2 linked regions of the Saccharomyces cerevisiae S288C genome follow. The protein of the gene in region 1 purifies or fractionates together with the protein of each later gene. This does not show direct contact. Each region holds a gene or a part of one and is shown in the gene's direction. Other genes may lie near its edges.

Region 1 (3,931 bases):
CAAAATTGGAACTGAAACTAGAAATAAAATCAAGAAGTTTCGTACATCTACAGCAAGAACCGACTCCATAAAAGCTTTATCAATAAAGATCGAACCAAAACCGTCCTATGAGATAATTGTCGATGAAGACGAACAAGAAGAGCTAGACGAAATTGAAGATTTGAGCGAATTAGCCGAGATCCTACCTGATAACTCACCTAGATTTGTACTAACTGCATATCCAACAACAACAAAAGATGGGTTCAAACAGACTCCCTTAGTTCTAGTATATTGGAAGCCAATGACGGTCGTTTCACAGGAATGGAAGATGCTTTATGCCGGCGCATTAGAAATGATCAGAGAGGAGTGCGGTACTTTTAAATTGATAGAGGTTTCTTCAGGTTTGGAGGATGACTCAGACGTTGAAGAATTGAGGGAGCAATTAGAAAATTGTTAGTATAGTCTATCTTAAACACTAAACTACCTCCTATAATCATGTAGTGTACTTTAAACATTTTTTTATCTTCATAGCAATAATATAAGCCTTTTACCACCCATAAACCATAAAGTAGACCCAAACATTTTTAAAAAAATTTTACGTTATAATTTTTTCTTTGTCGTTTTTTCTGAGCGCGCAAAGTAGCGGTGAAATTTTGATACGAATGAGATTTCCACTTCTGTACAGATGGAAATTTATGTTGGCCGACATATATCACAGTCGTGATTGAATTAACAATTTCTTTCTCATTAATATTTATTCTAAACGGTTAACCACTAAATCAATCAACAACAATCAGTCAAAATGGGTCGTATGCACAGTGCCGTATGTTTATTAACACCATAGCGAGATATTAATGCAAAAGTTGCATTGAATAGTTCGCTAAATCAGATGACACTCTAATGTGGAATTCAAAAGTGGATTTCTAATATAATTTGTCTCTGTCGGATCACAATTCTATTACAAGTTCCGGTGTGTACACAGGTATAGTTTATACTGGAGAGTAGTTTCTACTCGCTGTACATTAGCTGGGTGATTCCAATTTCTTTTACAAATATGTTGCATTAGTTTAACAGGTTATACTATCTGCCGTTTCTCAGTATAATTTACGCCGGAAAATTACTGATGGCTAGCCGCCTTTATGAATTAGTTTTCACAAAGCTCATAACATAACACGTTAACCTATCGGAGGAGAACCAAGATTGAAGAATCACCCGGAATAGTTATACTTTAATGGAATTGTATGGTCTGAACGAGGAAATATGTCATGATACACTTTTCTTCAAGCCATATGAATCTTCATGTTACTAACATTCGATAAATTTTTTGGAATATCCAATTCCACTAAATATTACTTTAAACAGGGTAAAGGTATTTCTTCTTCTGCTATTCCATACTCTAGAAATGCTCCAGCTTGGTTCAAGTTGTCCTCTGAATCTGTCATTGAACAAATTGTCAAGTACGCGAGAAAGGGTTTGACTCCATCTCAAATTGGTGTCTTGTTGAGAGATGCTCACGGTGTTACCCAAGCTCGTGTTATCACTGGTAACAAGATCATGAGAATCTTGAAGTCCAATGGTTTGGCTCCAGAAATCCCAGAAGATTTGTACTACTTGATTAAGAAGGCTGTCTCTGTTAGAAAGCACTTGGAAAGAAACAGAAAGGACAAAGACGCTAAGTTCAGATTGATTTTGATCGAATCTAGAATTCACAGATTGGCCAGATACTACAGAACTGTTGCTGTCTTACCACCAAACTGGAAGTACGAATCCGCCACTGCCTCCGCTTTGGTCAACTAGAGTGTTTAAATCATTTATTTCATTATTTTATATGTATATTTTGTATAACTAAAATTGATTTTTTAAACATCTCTTTATAAACGATAAGTTGCATTTTATTTTATTTCACTATTGCTAATTTTTGTGTCCGTTTCTAACTTCAAAGCTGCTCCCAGCCTTTCCTAAGGTTTTCAGTTACCAAGTCTGCCTGAGAAAGCAACAGATTAACACTTTTGTAATGAACAAGTAGAAAATATGGCTCAAAATTTTGGAAAGATTCCTTCTCACAAGTCTTACGTATTGAGCTTATATCGGACCGTTCTCAGAAACATTCCAAAGTGTTGCCACTCATATGCGTTTCAATATGAAATAAAAAAAACACTTTCAATACAATTGTTCAAACACAAGCATGACAAGTCAAGTTGGAGTGTTTATACTTTACTCAATGAATTCAGTTTGTTGAACAATTGCCTTTTGGAAGGTAAATTACAAGAAATCAAAAACTTAATGAAGCCATTAAAAAAGATGAAAAAACAACTGAAAACAACGAAAATCCTCAACTCTTTGACTTCATTAGGGGATGTAAAGACCAACGACCCAGAAGAAGTAAGAAGATTTCATGTTCTAAGTGCTTACATTAAGCGAAAACAAGATTTGGGCCTTTTACCTGCATACATACCAAAAACGTATCAGCACAAACTCCTATTACCATTAGCATTGAACGAACATGCGTGCCTGAAACTATTTCATATTCAGCAAAAATTGAAAAATGGCCCACCTTCTGCTGGGCTGTCATATACAAAAGAAGGAAGGAATCAAATATGGTTTGTTCGGTCACCAATTAACAAGGGCAGACAACAATCGAAAAAGCTGGGAATATTGATACGAAAAGAAAGGAAGGATTCTCAGAAAAATATCGATAATCTCAATTTTTGCGAAATTAATGCTGCTTGGGCATTACATGAGGCCATTTGGGAGGAATATCTAGAGTCGAAAAAGATTATTAAAGTAAACTTACCGAAATACTTGGAATACGCTGCAAATATCCCAAAGTCTACTAAATGTAATCCTTCGAGTCAATATCAGAAAGTTAAAGAATGGGTAGATCCCGTGAGAGAAATAATGTTCGAATTACATTCCAAAAGTTTTCAAAGAGTGGAGTACTTTAACAAATATAAGGAAAAGCTTTTAAAGAACGGTGGCCAACTAGCATATTTTGATAAAAAGTCAAAAGAAATGTACGCCAAACGGTTGACACTATTCAGAAAAATGAGCAAAGAAACATTACCATATGTGACACTCTTTATAGAAGGGAGGGACTTGCCAAGTGTTTTGGCGAAATACGGTTTTTAAGTGCAAAAGTTGCGTGAATCAGAAAGTTTAATAGAAAATTTACTGGTTACTTCCATTTCTATGTAAATAGTCACTCGTATGACCGCGATAAGGATCCTGATGAAGACGATTTAATTATACTTCCTATTCTATACAGGTTTCCTCATCAGTAGTCAACTGTCCAAAGTACACATCCAATGGTAAAGGCTCATTCTTGTAGGTATCATCAAACTCAAGATCCTTGAAACTCGTTATCAGCGATTTGACGGTATCTATAGGTACCTCACTTCCAACTAATTCTTCTAAAAGGCTTACCGAGTACATATCATCAAACTCTAGATTAATGTAACTAGTTAAATGCACGCCTCGCCTTTCATGCAGAGGCGTTTGTGATAACTGTCTCATTAAATACAACGAACATTTACTGTGATAATTATTACAATACATTGAGTGGATAAAGAAGCCATCAGATGAATTTTCTGCCGCACTCTTATAGCATAGCGGGTACCCACATATTTTCTTTCCCCTTCTTGCATTAATAACATCCATATAAGACATCGGTGAAAGTAGCCGTGCTAAGTATTTTAATGTCTGCTCATTTTCGCAAAATGATTCTGTGAGCATTGAAACTATGGCAGATTCAATCATTCGGGCTTCCACTATAGATAATTGCTCATGTAATTGGTGTGATCCTAAAATTACTTTTTGAATGAACGTAGTGGTTATTATCTGCATTATGGCTTGCGTTGCTCCTGTCCTTCTAGTATAAAAATAAACCTATCACTTTTCTTAAATATGCTGCAATTTTTCCAGAATGCCTCCTTGCTGTTGATAAATGGCTTCC
Region 2 (3,667 bases), on another chromosome or scaffold:
ATTATCTTCACGAATTCAAAAGCAGCGATTTCTTTCTAGACAGCAAGTCTCCCCGTTCAAAAAATAAACCTGTTGTTGAACAATCAGACATTAGCCGTGTGAATAAGGATGGGACTAACGCTGGCAGTCACCCATCGAGCAAAGGGACACAGGATCCGAAACTGACGAAGAGAAGAAAGGGTTTGAGTTCTTCGAATCTATATCCTATCTCTAGTTTGTCTTTAAATGATTGCTCATTAAAGGATAGTACTGACTCAACTTTTGTTTTACAAGGGTATGCTAGTTATCATTCACCAGAGGACACATGTACAAAAGAATCAAGCACGACCTCAGATTTGGCATGTCCAACAAAGACGCTTGCTTCAAATAAGGGCAAACATCAACGTACGCCTTCAGCTCTCTCGATGGTGTCCGTTCCGAAATTTCTAAAGAGTTCTTCCGTGCCCAAGGAACAAAAAAAGGCTAAAGAAGAAGCTAACATCAATAAGAAGTCAATTTGCGAGAAGCGCGTTGAATGGACGTTTAAAATATTTTCCGCAAGTCTTGAACCAACTCCAGAGGAATCAAAAAATTTCAAGAAATGGGTTCAGGACATAAAAGCGCTTACAAGTTTCAATTCTACTCAGGAGAGGTCGAACTTCATTGAAGAAAAGATTCTGAAAAGTAGAAACCATAATAATGGAAAGAGCTCTCAAAGGTCCAAAAACAGTACATATATCACTCCAGTAGACAGTTTTGTTAACCTTTCTGAAAAAGTAACGCCATCTTCCTCTGTTACCACGTTAAACACTAGGAAGAGGGCAAATCGTCCTCGTTATATAGACATCCCAAAAAGCGCAAATATGAATGCAGGCGCTATGAATTCCGTATACAGGTCAAAAGTCAATACACCAGCCATTGATGAAAATGGTAATCTGGCCATAGTGGGAGAAACGAAAAACAGTGCTCCACAAAATGGTATGAGTTACACAATTAGAACCCCTTGCAAATCGCCTTATTCACCTTATACTGGGGAAGGTATGCTTTACAACCGGTCAGCAGATAACTTAATGGCATCCTCTTCGCGAAAAGCATCGGCTCCCGGAGAGGTACCTCAAATAGCTGTTAGTAATCATGGGGATGAAGCCATTATTCCGGCAAGCGCGTATTCAGATAGTAGTCATAAATCGTCTCGTGCCTCCAGTGTTGCATCCATTCACAACCAACGGGTTGATTTTTATCCTTCGCCATTAATGAACTTACCAGGTGTTTCACCCAGTTGTCTAGCATTGGATGGTAATGCAAACGGATATTTTGGAATACCATTGAATTGCAATTCGGAAGCAAGACGAGGGTCAGATCTTTCACCTTTTGAGATGGAGTCTCCATTGTTCGAGGAAAACAGAACTCAAAACTGCAGTGGCTCTCGCAAAAGTTCAGCTTGTCATATTCCCCATCAATGTGGTCCAAGGAAAGAAGGTAATGACTCACGATTGATCTACGGCAATGAGAAGGGCGCCTCACAATCACGTCTAACGTTGAAGGAACCGCTTACATCTAAAGGTGTTGAAGCTCCTTATAGCAGTTTGAAAAAGACATATAGTGCGGAAAACGTCCCACTAACATCTACTGTATCGAATGATAAGTCTCTTCACTCGCGCAAGGAGGGAAGTACTAATACTGTACCTGCTACATCCGCGTCAAGTAAGTGACACTATGAAAACCTGTCCAATAAGACTGCACAGATGAAGAGCATGTCATTTGGTTCCTTGATAAGTGTAATAAGCAACAAGAAAGTCCTGGGTCATGTTCCTGCTGAAAATACAAACCCATTAACTACCGGAAACGAAGAAGATTAAGACAAAATGGAAAAGTTAAGTTAAACGCAATCAGTTCATATATTCTTAGATAGTTATCATGTTTTTATAAGTAAACAAAGTAGTCTTCTACCAAATAAAAATAGATTCCTGATTGGGTATTTTTCAGAAGTATCATCTGAACTTGATGTTATTTTAAAATGAAAGCCAGCGTCCATAATTATCTTTTTCTTACTTGTTTTTTACAGTGGCGGTAGGATTGGCAATGCCTGTTCATCTCCAGTTTTCCGGTCCGCTTACGACATCGGCCTTTCTATAAGACAGGTTGGCAATGCGCCACGGTACATGATGACGATAGGAGCCTTCGAATAATATTTTGTTGTGAATTCTCCTGGGAACCTCTCAAAATCAAATATGGGTTTACCTAAATCGGCATATAAGAAGTTACTCATAGATTGTCCAACGAGAGTCATTAATAAAAACTGTGCCCAACGAGTCAAAGATGTTTCTCCGCTCATTACAAACTTCGAGAAATGGTCGGATAAGCGCAAGAAGCTCTATTTCAAAGATGAAGAGGAAATGGTGGGGCAGTTCCATTTGGAAAATTTCAATTTAAAAAATAACTTATATGGTAGGCTTTTAGCTTCTCCAATGAGAGCAGAAAAAATCTCAAAATTAAAATCGTGTAGAGAATTACTAATTCCATTGAAAGTGGTACCATCAACTGGCAAAGATCAGCATGCTGATAAAGATAAACTAAAACTGGTACCTACACTAGATTATTCCAAATCATACAAAAGCTCGTACGTATTGAATTCAGCCTCCATTGTACAAGACAACTTGGCGGCTGCGACGTCATGGTTCCCAATCTCGGTATTGCAAACATCAACTCCAAAGAGCCTAGAAGTTGATTCCTCTACATTTATAACGGAATACAATGCTAACTTGCACGCATTTATAAAAGCAAGACTTTCAGTGATACCGAATGTTGGACCTTCTTCGATAAATCGTGTTTTACTCATTTGTGACAAGAGAAAAACACCCCCGATTGAAATACAAGTAGTTAGTCATGGTAAAGGGCTACCAATTACACAGTCTGTCTTTAACCTTGGTTATCTCCACGAGCCAACTCTAGAAGCTATCGTGAGTAAAGATGCAGTTACTAATGGAATTTACCTGGATGCCGACAATGACAAGGATCTCATCAAACACCTTTATAGTACATTATTGTTTCATTCAGTTAACTGATTGCGGAAGAAAAAAGGAAGGAAAGCGGGATATATCGCTGGAATTGTCTCTCTGAATTTGCCATTATTCTTATTCAATGAATACAAAACTGGCTGTCAGCGAATGGCATCATTTTGCAATCCGAAAATGAAAAATTTGGGCGCCTCGGGCAGGAGAATTCAGAACCCTTAATCCCGCACATCTACGTAAAATATCTCTGAGGTGTTCTATAGTCCATCACTTACCATCCATCTGCAAGGCTGTATGATTGATAAAGAGGAACATTAAGGGTAAATAGATTTGTTGATTTGTTTGCACTAGTGGCTTTGTATTAAAAACTTCAAGGGCATACACATGCATTATATTCAAGAGCACAACCAATAATTTACCATTATAGAAGGTACTTCTTTGAAAACTAAATCATACACTTTTTCCCACGAAAAGGCTTACATTTAAAAGCTAAGCATTCAATTTAGTTTTGCTGATCAATTTCTCGAGTAGGCTTGTCATCCATAATATCTAGTAGCTGGAGTATCCTGTTTATTGCAAGAAAAAAAATCTACAATGTCTATGTTACCGTGGTCTCAAATAAGGGATGTGTCTAAACTATTATTAGGCTTTATGCTTTTTATTATATCAATTCA

What was found.
Region 2: the proteins of RRG1 (region 1) and RRG8 purify together in Saccharomyces cerevisiae (affinity purification with mass spectrometry; 2 studies listed by BioGRID). This does not show direct contact.

The regions. Positions count from the first base shown.
Region 1 is NC_001136.10:578,677-582,607, forward strand, and holds RRG1 (Rrg1p), read left to right. Parts: upstream 1-2,010; coding exon 2,011-3,108; downstream 3,109-3,931. Other genes in the region: AIM7 (Aim7p), read left to right, coding at 1-436; 40S ribosomal protein uS15 RPS13, read left to right, coding at 782-802, 1,342-1,776; RTR2 (putative protein-serine/threonine phosphatase), read right to left, coding at 3,232-3,822. UniProt on the Saccharomyces cerevisiae protein: Essential for respiratory growth and required for mitochondrial protein synthesis. Required for vacuolar acidification.
Region 2 is NC_001148.4:756,438-760,104, forward strand, and holds RRG8 (Rrg8p), read left to right. Parts: upstream 1-2,210; coding exon 2,211-3,044; downstream 3,045-3,667. Other genes in the region: RGC1 (Rgc1p), read left to right, coding at 1-1,691; HOB2 (Hob2p), read left to right, coding at 3,588-3,667. UniProt on the Saccharomyces cerevisiae protein: Required for respiratory activity and maintenance and expression of the mitochondrial genome.